Linked DNA regions of Astyanax mexicanus. The protein of the gene in region 1 interacts with the protein of each later gene in a pairwise test. Links are inferred from orthologs where the notes say so. Each region holds a gene or a part of one and is shown on either strand. Other genes may lie near its edges.

The links.
Region 2: the proteins of cep70 (region 1) and rhpn1 interact in binary tests that used the Homo sapiens proteins (3 or more experiments, as listed by UniProt). The two-hybrid records come from large-scale screens. The link is inferred for Astyanax mexicanus from reciprocal best matches to the Homo sapiens genes CEP70 and RHPN1.

What each region holds. Positions count from the first base shown.
Region 1 is NC_064430.1:21,251,744-21,259,751, reverse strand, and holds the start of cep70 (centrosomal protein of 70 kDa), read right to left. Parts: upstream 3,044-8,008; 5' UTR 2,836-3,043; coding exon 2,755-2,835; intron 2,657-2,754; coding exon 2,557-2,656; intron 980-2,556; coding exon 856-979; intron 1-855.
Region 2 is NC_064408.1:54,510,329-54,518,303, forward strand, and holds the start of rhpn1 (rhophilin-1), read right to left. Parts: upstream 3,014-7,975; 5' UTR 1,484-3,013; coding exon 1,409-1,483; intron 1-1,408. Other genes in the region: naprt (nicotinate phosphoribosyltransferase), read right to left, coding at 3,387-3,473, 3,590-3,697, 4,038-4,195, 5,029-5,131, 5,556-5,636, 5,755-5,839, 5,930-6,070, 6,163-6,356 and 1 more. UniProt on the Homo sapiens protein: Has no enzymatic activity. May serve as a target for Rho, and interact with some cytoskeletal component upon Rho binding or relay a Rho signal to other molecules.

The DNA of each region.
Region 1 (8,008 bases):
ATGGTTCCGGAGGAACGTAATTTCATCACACTGTGTACCTGTACTCAGATGTAATGACAATAAAAGCCTCTTGACTTGACTTGACTTGATCAGTAACTGACCTGACTGATACTGCTGCTCTCATGTGGCTGAATGCAATCTAATACTCTACACAGCAATGTTCCAAATTCTGGCGTAAAGCCCTTTCAGAAGAGAAGAGGTGGTTACTGCATTACAGGAGGACCAATTCCCACTTAATAGCTGAAGAGGCACTAAATATTTAGAAACTAAATAAATGAAAAGACAGAATAATTTAAATTATACAGAATAATTTATTTAATAATTTATTTTAAGTCAAATTGTAGTGTTTCCCCTGAGGAGGCATGAGCTAGTCTTCATCCTCCTGGTGTGTTGGGGCATTACTAGTGATTGGGGGGGTCCTAATGAGTGGGTTGGGTAATTGGCTGTGTAAATAGGAGAGAAATGGTGGAAAATATATATAATATATAAATAAAATAAATTAAAAAAAAAAAGATAAATAAAAAAAAGATTAAAAAAGAAAAGCACTCTCAAGGTTTTGTGTGACCAGAACAGTACGGCTGGAATAAATTAATCTTTAGAATAAAATAATAAAATAAATGTTTTAATGCCATGATATAAGAAATATAATGCAACAGTAGAAAAAAGCGGTAATTTTACTAAATCCAGTGTAAGGCCATGTTTAGTATTTAGCATTTAGCCAGTTGTTTACTTTAGTTCAGTTTCATTTATATATAAAAAATAAATTAATAAAAATTAATGCATCACTACTAATAGTCCTGATTTCAGAAAATAAAAACATGGTTTGGGTAAATAATACTGTAGAACATGTCTTACTTCAGCTGGCTGTTGGACTGAATGAGCTCCTGGATGAGGGCCTGCCTCCTCTCAGAATCTGTCAACATTGTCTTCAGCATGTTCCGCATTTCAGCTGATGATGTTCTCTCCAGCAGAACCAGGTCTAAAGAGCACAAACAATACAGCTTAGATCTGATTAAATAGAAAACTTATCAATACAAACACGGATACAAACAGTCATAGTGTAATGTTGTGCCCAAAACAAACTAAAACTAAATCAGTGTGTCTTAAACCTGGTTTACACAGCAGATCTTTCAATCTGGTCTTTTTTGTTGAATGTGACACAGATATTTGATCTATGTGGCAGTGTGAAATCCAAAGAACACACTGAGTCTAATATTTGATTTGGGCCACTTTAGGTAGATCAGATTTTTGATGCAACACTTTATATGATGTTTAAGTTTCACATTAGCCGCATTACAGGAGCTATTAAGGAGTTTCAGTAGATGAAACCTGGACTTCCATTCAGATTGCAGTTATGGAATCCTGTGATGTTTCATTAGAAACACTGAGTGGTTGTGACACAATCTATGAATTACGTTTAAAAGAAGACTTCACCCCATCTATAGGGCTATTATCTTTTATGAGGTCATTATTCAGCAACTGAACCCCTGTCTCACTGCTGTTGTCCATTTTCCCCTTCTCCTTACTGCCATTTTTTTCCATAAATGACGTAAAAGTCACATACATTCCTGTCTGTCTATTTAGACTGAGTTGCTTTGCTACAAATTAGACAGGTATCAGATTTCAATACCACAATGGAAAATTACCCAAATCGGAACTGAAACTGTCAGTTTTTTGCCTTTTATACTGCCAAACTAAGAACACATCTTTAGCTCTATCCAAGCGGGATTTATTTCTCAGGGGGTCTTGGGGTAATTTGCTCTTTTATAGGGGGGTCCTCTGTGATTTTATTTCTGTTCAGAACGACCATATACGTGTTTTTCTCAGACGTCCTGAGAAAATGACAAGTTAAATTACCTACTTCTTCGGTGAACTCCGTGTTCCTCCGATAATTTTAGTCATGTTCAGACAGACATCTCTGAGTTTCATCTCCTCGCGTCCACTACCATGCATCGTAATTACACTTTGGGCGCATGTTTCCACGGAGATCCACGTAAACACAACAACGAGTAGAAGTGGAGGAGCTACTGAACGCAATGTCATGTGACCGAGAAAACCATAAAACTCACTGAGAAGAGTAGAAGTGTGAAATATTTTTCACAGACAGCCACCTGAGAAACTAATCCTGTCCAAATAGGGCTTATGTCACATACAAGGGAAAAAATCAATTTGGGTCACTTTTATATGCTATTTGTCCACAGCCATAAGTGGTACTAAAATTCGAAATATTTCCTATTTCTAGCAATGCAAGTGAGCCTCAACAGCCAGATCAGAATTAATTTACACCAAGGAGAAGGAAAAAATGTGCGTCAGATATTTATGAAAGGCTAACAAACACCCCTGCACCTCTGTAAGAACTTGTCAATTAACTGATTAGTTGAAACAGGTGTGTTAAGAGAAGAAAAAGCAATAAATGTGCAGAGCAGGGTGAGCCTAGCATCTCTCATAACTAACTAAAGAAGCACACAACACATATCAAATATGTCATTATACCAATAATGGCTGTTTGACAGATTCTGAAGTGAACTACTCCTTTAAAAACTAGACTTAGAATACCTGCCAGGTTCTTGTTCTCTGTTGGATCCGCAAAGCGAACAGGTTTGAAACCATGATGTTGCAGCATCCGATTAACAGCGTCCCAATCCGTCTGCTCCTGCTGCAAATTAAAATCAAACACCTCAATCATTACACAGTTTCTTACCAACACTGCTGAGATTCAGAATGGAAAGATTTGTGCAGAGCATCAGTAGCTACCTGAAACTGACTGTAGTTCCACAGAAAGACATACGTCTTATCTCTAGCATGAAGCCGAACAGTCAGAGCTGTCCTGTCCATCTCTTCTCTACACCTTCACTCAACTGACCTAAAAACTACTGCTTTTGACTGCTTTTATGGAAAATACAGAACACAGTATACAGGTGACTGCTCTCTTCTGCTAGGTGCCCAAGCCGAGTTCCTCTGCTCCTCTGGGGACCAGGCTGGTGTACAGCCCTTCATTTAAAGGGAGGCTGGTGCAGATCGGATTACAACACATGGCTGCTCAGTGAATGGGTAGAAAAGATGCAGCTCACCTTTTCCATCATAGTGTCCTCTTCCTCTCTGAGGGGATCTCTTCTGTTGCACAGGTTAGAAGATTTGACCACCCTTATAACATCCTCTCACCTTTTTGGAGTGGGAGAGTTTCTGAAAAAATACATCTTAGAATCAGTGAAGTAGTAAACTCTCAGAAAAATCAAGAAACTACACAGCAGCAAAGAAAGTTCATTTATACAGCACTTTCATTCAACGGTCATTCAAAGTGCTTTACAAATTAGACAATTCAAAGAGAGTCACATAAACATGCAAAAGAATGACATAAAAAATAAAAATGGAAATAAAAATAAAATAAAAATGAGAACAATAATAAAACATGATTAAAACAATACATTTAAAAGAAGGAAAATTAACGAAATTAATTAGAATAAAAGTGCTGTTACAGCTAGAAAAAGACATTTCTAACAGAATTAAATTTTAATGTTTGACAAAGTTAGTTTAAGATTGACAAACCTTAACCCTACACCTGTCTTCTGATTGTTCTATGAAATGTTAATTAAATGACTAATGACTAATTTGCCTTATAATGTAATGCATATATGCATTTATCCACTAAAATAGATTTTAAAAATACATTTTATGCCCAACATTGCTCTTACAAAAACTAGATAATTTGACCATAATTAGCCCAGACCTATCAACACTGTACTGGCCTCCAGTCAAATTCTGCATAGACTATAAAATTCTCCTGTTTACGTTTAAAGCCCTGAGTATTTGCAAGCCCTCATCTCTTATTATGAACAGTCACAACAACATAAATCACAGGGAGCTGGTTTCCTAGAAGTTTCCAAAAACCCTTTTATAAACCTCAACAACTCTGGAATAACCTTCCAGAAAATGTTCAGGGCTCAGATAGTCTCATTCTCGGAAGTCTAGTTCAAAAACGTACTTGTTTAGTTTAGCTTTTGGTAATTAATGTTCCCCTTAGATAAGGCTGCAGATCCAGGGGTTCATGGACAGAGGGAATTGTGGTAAACTGAGATGCTGGTGCTGTTGTTCTCCCACTGAACGTGGTCACTCAGGTTTGTGGACGGTGGAGTGGGTGGTTGCCGGTGTTTCAGGGTGCCTCTGTGTCTATGTTACCTTCTGGCTCTCTCCCTGTCATATAGTTTGCTCTCCATAAATCCAGTCAAAATTCATTTTGACTTCCTACCTTCTTTCAAGTTATTGACTGCCAACCTGTCCAGACTGACACTAATGGATGTTTGACCCTCAGGTCGACCCTTAGGTTCTCAGGTCACCTGTGTGGCCTGATGGAAGTCCCCGTAGATCAGGTTTCCCCATCACCCAACACACATCAGCTGTCCATTGTTCAGTTTTTGCCACCTGCATTGGACAAGTTGCTCACTCTCCACTACCGATTACATCCAAGTTTGTATGATACTCTAACTAAGAATTTTCTAACCGCTTCCACTGCTGGTGTGGCTATTTATCTGAATATAACAACCATAGAATGACTATTTAACAACCAATGATTAAGTTCTGACCAGAGGAGAATGGGTCCCCCTCCCCTATATATTAGCCTTGATAGTATGTGTGATAGTATATGTGATATAAGGTACTCCTTTATCTCTGAGGGAGTTTTTCCTTGCCTCCGTTGCTCGCTGGGGGTTCTGTATTGTATGTCCAATGTTGTCTGATTCTCTGTCCTGTGATCACATTTCTGTTAAGCTGCTTTGTGACATCAGTTGTAATACAATCGCTTTATAAATAAAAAGTGATTTTTTTTATTTGACTCTTAAAACTAGGTGATCTAACACTGTTTATCGTATTGTTATGATTATTTTGTAACGATATCAGTATATAAAGACCTAATGTTTGTTTTGTTTGAGTCCTGATAAACTGTACATTTGTAATGATTGAATCATTAATCAAATTTGATGAAAGGAGGATAATACCGTATGGGAGAGAGAATACTAAATAACCTAGGTTATATATTCGATTTTGCACTACTAGTTAATGTAGTCACCACCACTATGAACAGTTATTACACCGAACCTTATAGTTATATTTATTCATATTATATTCATAATGTATTTCTATTTAATCGTAAAGTTGATGAATTAAGTAAGATAGATAAAACAATGTGCAAACTTTTATAAAACATTAAACAAGTTACTTAGTAATTTAACCCTGCTATTAGCTCAGTCAAGCTGTAGCTCAGCTGCAGATATAACGTTACGTGAGTTTAGAAAACCTGTTGTTTATCTGAAAACAGTAGATTAACACTAACGTTAATTAGGCTATCTGAGCTATAGTTCACCTAATCTAACAGTTAGCTCAGTTAGCTCTAAACCTACAGCTGCTGCTGTCAGCTAGGTTAGTTAGTTATCTTAGCTTAGCTTAGCTCACACCAGCGTTTTACTGCATGAGACGGATTTTAAGTTAATTTATTAACATAAGCGGGAATACTGAGACTAGTCCTACCTTAGAAAGTTACGGGAGGACCATCGTTTAGTTTAAGGTCGGTTTTATTTCTCTGACCCGCAAACAGAGAGCGCTTTGTTGGGGTTTTCAAAATAACTGCAAAAGTGACACATGAGCTCGATTCCGGAAAACGGACCAATAGAGGACAAGATAGCCGAAGCCACGCCCCCTGTCCGTTCACCGCGCGCTCTGACTAAAAAATAATTAATTTTTCTTTAAAATAATGTGTTAAATCTGTGTACAAATTACAGGACTATTTTGTGTTTAACAACCCAGCGCCTATTTTTATTTTATTATTATTGTACAGATTTGCAGTTTGCTGTGTGATACCTTAGTTTTTTAAGTATTTCATTATCCTTTTTTATTATTTTATTTTTTTTCTCCTTTTTGTATATGCTTTTGGAATAAAAAAATATACAGTGTTTTTACTTTGTAATTTTAATCACATGAAAACAATTAAGCGACACATAAGGAAACTAGTACTTACGTAGTAAACATAATGTTTATCCTCCACAATCTAAACCTGATCTAAACCTTATCAACTGAGATGGTGATTTGAGGTGAGTTGGGATGAGCTGGAGCGTCATTAATTAATGTTGTTATATAAAATCATAACTAATTAAGGGACTTTATTAATTAAAGTGTCGGTGTAACGTTAATTGGTGTAATAGATAGATAGATAGATAGATAGATAGATAGATAGATAGATAGATAGATAGATAGATAGATAGATAGATAGATAGATAGATAGATAGATAGAGTCAAACTTGCTTTAAATGAGGATGTAAATACTGTAAGTTAATGTGGAGCTGCATGCACTGGTAAAATGTGTCCACAAGAGGGCAGAAAAGACACATAAACGAGTAAGCCCATTATCCTATATCTTAGTATGTATTCCTCTGAAGACGGCAGCGGACTGATAGTCTGAGCGTTCTGGAAAAGTCTAGAAAGGCTGCATGAAGTTTTGTCAATTTATACTTAGTCGTAACCTTGTCTAAGTCTGCATTGTTCATATTTAACATAATATTCCTGCCCTCTGCTTTCCTTTAAAGGGTAGATATTATGCAAAACTCACTTTTTGCGTGCTTTTGTATTTCCATCTGGGTCACGACTGTTTTTATAAACACTCCAAGAATCACATCAATCCATGCGTTTTCTATAAATCAGGTTCAGGCGGTGGTTTTAGACTGCTTTTTAAAGTCAGAGCTAATGATACTGGCTAAAATTGATGTATGAAGTAAGCTAATTAAAATGTTGCATGTGTCTTCAACAGAAAACAACGCATTTTTGTGTTTCCCATTCTTATTGAATGAAATATTCATAAAATACATGCTGAAGTCTGTATTAGGAGAGATTAGCTCCAAGTTAGTAGCTTGTTTAACAGCTAGCTGCTAATACCATACCTGTCAAGTTTTGGACTTAAAAATAAGGGATTTTTTCCGCCGCCCCAACAGCCCAAACGAGGGGGGAAAAAAAAATATATATATATATATATATTTTTATTTATTTTTATTTATTTAATAGACTTAAAATTGAAATTGAAGGGTGCACAAATTTACAAATAGGACATGGATCAGATATATTCCATAAGTAAATAATAGTCCTAAGGGGCCTACACAATTAATAATCTTTCATTAATACTTCTTTCTATCGTTCAGTCCACTCCTGATCAGTTCAGTTAATTTCAGCCCTCTCCACATTTTCTCTCTCTCCAGCTCAACCATCTCTTCTACCCCTTCTAAATAATACATTACATTACATTATAATACATTACCACAATACTTGAGATTTAAACAAATTCTAACAAACCCTAAAACTAGCCCTGAACTAATAGAGTTTGGAAATGATAGTTATTGGCTGATCAGGCACATCAGGGCAGGGCATTATATATATATATATATATATATATGTAGATTTTTCTCAAACCCTGAATATCTATCTAGCTAATTCTAAAGTTAAGCTAACTGAGTCACAAGCTGTATTTTATTAAACACACAGTGGGTTTAATTTGTGTTTTGATTCAGAGAAGAGTCTTTTTAACCAGCTATCAGAAACAATCTCATCACAGTTTACATGGTTAGTTACCTTTCTTTTAGAAAAATCTCCGTATATCCAGATTAGTTTTAACGACAGCTGCTCCGACTAGCTGCCTGAACTCACAGCGAGGGGAGGGGCGGGGCTTCCCGCACACTAAACTGCGCTCCGCAAAACCAGCTAGCTGATTGGCTGTTTCTCCTGAAAGGCGGGACTTTCTACTTGAACCGGCACCACGATTGGTTAAGAGACACACAGCGGTCAGTGCATTGTCGCCTGTGGCCTATATATTTTTTTATTTAGTATAATACGGGAAATTTACGGGAAAATACTAATACGGGAGGACGGCGGGAAAGAGGAGTAAAATACGGTAGTTTCCCGGCCAAAACGGGAGACTTGACAGGTATGGCTAATACTACAGGTTAAGCAACAAAAGGGTTACAAGCCAATAACA
Region 2 (7,975 bases), on another chromosome or scaffold:
CATAGTGTCAATATTATTATCTATCACTGCCTTAACTAGAGCTGCACAGGTTGCTTCTGGAATCCCTTTCCACTGTTCCATAATCACATCAGGGAGCTGGTGGATGTTAAGACACCATACGCACCTCCACCTTCTACTTGAGAATGTCCCACAGATGCTCAACTGCGTTTAGGTCTGAACACATACTTTTAGGCCAGTACACCACTTTTAACTTCAGCTTCCTCAGCACAGCACTTTTCAACTTAGAGGTGTGTTTGGGTCATTATTGTGTTAGAAAACTGCCATGCAGCTCAATTTCTGAAGAGAGGGAATCATGCTCTGCTTCAGAATGTTGGCATACAGCTCCCCAGTGCCGGCAGCAATTATGCAGCCCCAGATCTTGATGCCACCACCACCATGCTTGATTGTAGGCAAGGGACAGTTTTTTGGTACTCCTCACCAGGATGCTGTCACACATGCTGGACACCATCTAAGCCAAATAAGTTTCTTGGTCCATCAGAGCGCAGTTCCAGTAATCCATGTTCTTGAACTTATCTTCAGCACTGTATGAGGGCTTTCTTGTGCATCAGGTTCAGAAGAGGCTCCCTTCTGGGATAATAGCTATATTTAGACACAAGTTTATGCAATGTGCGGCTTATGGTCTGAACACTGCAGGCTGACCTCCCGCTGGCAGCACTCGTGTCTATTTTTTAAAGCCAACATCTGGATATTACACTGAACACGTGGGCTCAACTTCTTAGTTTGACCCTGGAAAAGTCTGTTTCTGGAAACCTGCTGTATGACGTTGGCCATCCTGCTATATTTCAATTTAATATGTTAGCAATCTTCTTATTGCCTAGACAATCATGTGGAGAGCAATTCTTTTTCTCACATCCTTAGAGAATTATTTGTCATTTTAAATATCCACAGGTCAGTATAAGAGAACTGTAACCCCCCAGCCATACAAATCACATGACAAAAGGGATGGACATTTTTGTTTTTATGGTGATGTCCAATGAAAGTATATAATACAATATTAGCAGAGATGGGAGGGGTGTACTCACTTTTGTTGGATACTGTATAACTTACACTAACACACACACACACACACGTTTTGTTCTGTTTATTCATCTATGCTTAATAAAAAGCATAATAGGTAAACAATATCCATAAACATAATCATTATAATAATAATAAAAAAATACAAATAAGTATAACAGGCCTAATTATTAGAAGACTGATGTGTGTTGTAAGAGAGCACTAAGCCATTCTAACCCTGCATATCAGAGAACCCATTACAGTCAGATCTAGGAGAAATGAGTGGCTGTGAGGAGCACTGCGCAGACTCCGCACTACCCGCTGGGTAAGATTAACTCATGGAGTAACGGGATCGTTCCTTTTACTACAATAATAACATTAAAACACCCACCTTTCTGACTGATCCTCCGGAGACCCCCTCCTCCCTCAGCACTGATACCTCTTCCTCTGAGCCAGTGTCCGACATTCTCCTCTCTCCGGGGGGCACTCGCTCACCTGCCCACTACACTCACTGCGTCACGGGGGGCGCGCGGGGCGGCCGGGACCCTGCAGTCCTTAAAGAAACGCGAACTCGGGAGAAGCGGAGAGCGCGCGCCCGTACTGCGACACGAGGTCACGCGACACTCCAGACTGCGTGCATGTCAAACTTCAGCAAATCCGGGAGTTTCACGGTAATCCCCCCTCACACATGGAGCATTCACCAGCAGGACCCACTTAAACCCGGGCTTTGGATTAGTTTCCTACCAGTCCAACCCCTCTATCCAGTAAAAAACTCCGATCTGCAGACGATTCTTCACCATAATGCCAAACCAGAACCCCGGTAGAGAACAACTATCGAAAATAACAGCAAGACACTTGTTGCAGACCCGCTGCTGCAGCTGATCTGCGTCCCTGCTCCGGTTTAAGTCCCAGAACGAGCCCACTCCTCTGCTTTAGCCAATAGGAGCGCGATACAGGTGAGCGACAGCCCAGCTGTCCAATAGGAGCACGAGGTGGAAACTTGATTGGCAGTCCGAGCGCCAACCCCGGAGCAGGTGGGCGTGTTCAAAAGTGATTTGAAGCGGAAAGACGACCGTTGTCCGTGGCAACGCAGAGGCATCGTCAGTCGGGAGGAGTCGATAGTGCAGACAAAGACTTTATACTGAGGCCCAACGTTTCACCCACTGTTCACCACCGCACTGTCCCCCACTGACACACTTCCCACCGTCTCCCCTCACACTGACCCGGGCTAACTTAACCCCGCAGCGCTGTAAAAAACATGTAGACAAACTTTCACATGTTTTTTTTTTTTTTGCATGATCACAACCTGCAAAAGCTATCTTAATCCTGTGAAAACAAAACAGATAGATTATGAAGAAATCCTCCAATCCCCAACTATTTAATTAACCTTGGAAGTCTTCACTTCATTTAAATTTCTTTAGACCTGAATTATGTTCCAATGATGAAAAAATATAAGAATGTTTTCTGTCTGTAATGCACACAAAATTAGACACTACTATCCTAATACAAAATCTGTATTAAAATAAATCCAATTAGCCAAAACATTATAACTTAATATGATAAAAAGAAAAAAGAGTTTTCATTACTTTGCCTTATTTGTTCTGTAGTGTTGACATGCTCTAATGTCCGAGTTGCTGATTTTTATTTGTCCAGTGCAGTGGGCGGGGCTAAGCTACTGTTTCATTGACTGGTTTCTGTTGGACAACAGGTCTTAATCAGGGTTCTGTGTAACAAAACAATTAAAAAATATAATGACATGAAGTCCATTGTAATTGACGCAGGGTCTGAAAGGGTTAGTGCACTGAGGTAATGTACAGACGCAACATAATAAAAACTTCACTACTGTCCAAATACTGAAGGACCTGTCTGTATGACTGCGAAAATAGGCCATAATCAGATGATCAAATGTGGAACGCCCATACATCCTAATGAGATCCTATCCAATTTTTAGCTGGCATGTTGATATGGCCCGATTCAGTGCCACATACGACGTATCTAGGTACCTAATGAATATATATATATATATATATATATATATATATATATATATATATATATATATATATATATATATATATATATACTTTAGCAGTATCCTTAAACATGATAACATATTAGTGGGTAAAATAAAACATTACACAGCTTTGTAAATTTTAATCTTTCAGTTTTAATTACAAGCCAAAGTCATTTGCTATGTAATTGTCAGTACTATAAAGACTACAGAAATACACTCTAAAATTTTTGAAAATAACATCAACACTGAGAATGTATGTGTGATAGAATCTGTGCGCTTTCAACAGCTTTTTAAGAAACATGTAGAAATTATTCTCTAAATCCAAGGTCAAAGGAACCCAAGTGGCTCGGTTGCTTCAGTTGGAGAGCAGAAAATGACTGCCTTTGCTGTTTCCCTTTCGAATGTTAGACACAAGCAAATGAATTCTCTCTGATATAGCCACCTGTAAAAATCAGAAATACAGATTATATAAGCAATAACACAGTGATAAGAAGAATATCTTTGATATTATGTCAAGTAGTTTGATTAACTTTTATATATAGATAAAAAAACACTGACTGTGTAATTTTCTGGCTCCTGCAGTTTCTTGTGGTGAGGATACATGGCTTGGAGGGAGGTCTGGGCATGTACTCGACTCTCGGGTGCAGTGCTCAGGGGTAAAGTGATCTGAAAATTCAAAATATAAAATTTTACCATGTTGAGCGTTAACAGGAAAACGCATAAAGAAAGGATGGGGTTTGGCTGTTAACAGAATTGCAAGTATTGACTACCATTTTCTGACCTTGGATTATCAGGTCATTCACTTCAAAATTTTATTTTTTATAATAACTGCATTACAATGTAATTAATTAAACTAAATATATCTATAACACAACAAGCATTTGATGGCTAAGGTGCTTAGTGCGGGTCAGAACATGATCCTAAATGCTTTCTGAAAAAGTACACAGAGCGCTTATGGTTGTTTAAAGACATTTAGATGATCAGTGATTAAAAAAAGTTTGTTTACCTCACCATGGGAAAACACATCTAATCGAAGGCTGGTCACTTGGGAAGGTGTGACTGACTGGACAGCCTTGTTTAGACCTAATGGGTAATAATTCAACGGTACTCCCACTTTTGGAGCTGGCTCCTCTGACAAGCAGATGAGATCCATTTGAGGATGACCTGTGTGTGAATGCACAAAGAGAAGGAATGAATGACACAGGAAAGCATAAGAAAATATGCGCATGCCGATATTTTAGTAAAAAATAAGTCTAAAATATTTGATTTAGAATTTTGTAAAAATCAAATTAAAATATTCATCATAAAAACACACCAGCATACACTGGCATGCAACATATCCCAAGACCATAGAGGCTAAAGAACACTGCACTGACCTGTGTAATATGTGTCTGGGGTCTACTACACTGAATGTGGACTAACCAGATGCTGCCAGTCACGATCATTACTACCCACTGTGCTGTCCACTGTGGGTGTTAATGCCATCTATGGTGTATTCCAAGAACATGTGACACTGTGGATAAATGACTGTTTACTACCTGCAAAACCTAAAGTGTGGGACATCGGACTCATATAACACACACTACCAGGCTCTGTTAAAACTTCCATAATTCATGTCACCTTGCCATGGGCACACTGGCCAGTGTTCAGCCCCTTTTACAAGAGAACACCTCATAACTTTTACAGGTGTGGGCATCCCCAAACTGTCCCCTAAGGTAACAGTTTATGATCAATTTACATACTGCTATCCCATGATTTTTTTTAAATTTAATATTAAGGGGACACCAGGAGTGTTTTAGCATAGCTACCAAACATCCACGGAATTAACCTAAACAAGCCTAGTCTTAAGTAATCGTTAACAGTGGTAAGTGCTATTATTGCACTGAAACTCTGGCTCATAAAATGATCCTATTTAAAACAAAAAACAAGACTACAAAAAACTCTGTAAACGTAAGAGAAAAGGGATTGGGTTTGAGGAAAAGGAAAAGTGGCCAGACCCTCAGTATCCAGCAGTCTGTAGATTGCCTTTCTGCCTGGAAGTGTGCTCTTTTCTGGGTCCTCACTCAGCTTCATCCTGGGGCAGCCTCTGACCTCTACCAACTTACAAAAAGTGCAAAAATACATGAATATAAACACATGAGGCTTCATCTTAGGCCTGTCCTGATAATTACATCAATTGATCGTACAATAAATAGACGTAACTTCCACTGACCCCAGTACTGCCCGTTGTATTTTTTTAGCAAGTACATTAGCAGGACATTAATGTGCATGAGCAGGTGTGTTGACTGTTTTAAAACAGTGGTTTTCTGTTTAATTTATTTAAGTACAATATTTATACATATTTTTATTACAATTTCTGAATACCCTTAATAATTAAACATTGCTAATAAATGATCATTATAAAAGAACTCTTAAAATGACAATTCATCAGTTACTGCATACTGGTTATTATTTTTGGGAAACTGGTTAATTTTTTATAACAAGAATTAAAACCTATTTTCATTGTTGTTTTTGCGTGGGTTACCTTATATACACAGCCAAGGGAGGGCTGACTTGTGCAGGTCACAAGGTGAGTTCCAACTCCCACTACATCAATCTCATTGTCCTGACAGAGACAGAAACAAGGGTAGCATAAGGTTAGCATCATAAAATTACCAATCATGCTTGAACTAAACTGTAAATTAACAATACCTCTCTAGTAAGAAGCCTTTAAAAAAACTTACTCTTTTGTTGAGCTCAACAAGACTCTGTTCAGAGACGCTGTTAGTACCAACGATGAGGAGAGACTCAAACTTAGGGACGGAAAAACTACAGAAAGCAGAGAGAAACATCTGATTAGCATCTGTCTGTAATCAACAGAATTATATCAAGGAGTTGGAAGGATGGTTTGTTACTGACTGTTTGCTGCACTCTCTGAAAACACAACGCACTTCTACAGACTGCTTGCAGAGGTCGCCACTATCCAGCCTCACTCCTAGTGGCTGATACTGCAGCTCGCACAGAGCAAGGCCAACAGCACAAAAACACAGTACCCCGCTACTGCAATAAAACACGTTTAACAATAGAACATATTTAACATTCTTCTTATTCCATACCGTCAAACTATGTTAATCTCAGAAACCAGGTGTTACCAGCTGACATTGTAGCTGTCGATCACCGGCAGGAAGTTGTTGGGATAGGCAATAGCGTACGACAGTAAGGCCGCAAGCTCTCCTTCCCGCACCTGCTGAGGTCTAGCTCCCAGTAACTGGCACACACGTCCTAACCAGCCCTTCACTAAAGAGAGGAAGTCAATGGGGTCATCACCCTCAGAGGGCACCAGAGTCTGCAGTGAAATTAGAAAATCAACAACAATTTTTTATGTATCTTGCATGCAGTTACTTGAATAAACATGCACTATACACTCTATTATATATTATACACACACACATTTACCATATTTGTCCACAACTTCATGTGTGATCATGTGTAATCCTTTACACAGTCAACTGGAAATAGATTAAAACAGCATTCAAAATAGTTTATATATATACATAAACTATTTTGAATGCTGTTTTAATCTATTTCCAGTTGACTGTGTAAAGGATTACACATGATCACACATGAAGTTGTGGACAAATATGGTAAATATTAACAAGTCAATACATTTTCCTTCTTGAATAATTTAACAGTACTTGGTAAAAATACATAATATTTTCAGAATCAAAGCTTATCTCAACACTCTGAACCCAGATTCTGTCATTAATGTTCACAAATAAATGTTGTAATGTTGCAAACTGAAATAAAACTAATAGTCTCTAACCAGCACAAGTCAAAGACTTAAATACATTAAATTATTTGGATTAATTTAACACAATCAAAACGGAACTTAGTAACTCAGTAAAAACTGAAAATTTAGCAGATACTTGTATCCAGAGCAATGTTCAATGACAGGTGAATATAACATTTGAAGTTTTGCCAAAAGACTCGTATCTGGACAAATAATTTAAACAATTACCTAAAATTTACCTACATGCTGTCAGATGCTTTACTGGCCTGTCACTCACGAAAACTTTCTGCTGGGAAATATTCTCTTATATTCTTTAAGGCGTGAAATGCAGCGAATGCGTACAGCACAGCTGCAGTTTCTCTGAAGTCATTATGGTCACTGTGACATTAATCAATGTGAACAATGAGTCATTCCTGATTTGGTCACAAATGCACCTTCTTCAGTGTTAATACTGTGTCTATTTTACACTTCTGTACATCTAGTACAGGTTAGTAACAGAAAACGAGGTCATGACGCACCTGTGGCCATACCTCCTCCAGAGAGGAGAAGGATGTGACGTACGAGTGTGCCATGGTGCCTGCCACTGGAATCCCAAAGAGACGCCCAGCCAGAGCATTACTCGTCAAATCAAAACCTGAGGCCAGAAAGACAGCTAAAGGGTGCATGCGCTTTCACACTGCTCTAGATTCATGGCAAGCTGGGCTACGAATACAATCAGGAAAAGGTCAGGAAAAATATGCAAATTACACTTTATTATGTAATAATGTGCATTATTAATGATCAAAAGATCTTTAATAAGGTGTCATTAACTGGGCATGCAGTAAAACTGTTTTTTAAGATAACTAGCACAGCATTACACCAGCTCATTGCACACAAACATATTTAGAAAGCAAATGCAGCCAATTATGGCTTTAATATTTAATACCTAATCTTTTAAGTTAAACTGTGTAAATCATTACCTAAACACTCACTTACGGTTATCTCTCAACTAGATTACCTAATGAGACAAAAAGTATTGTAAAATTTTGTCCAAAAATTTTGCCCTATAAGGTGCACTGGATTATAAGGCGCACTATAAAAAACATTATAAGGCACACTCTCAGTAAATGTCTATTTTCTAGTATGTTTTCGCACTATAAGGTGCACCAGATTATGAGGCGCACTATCAATAAATG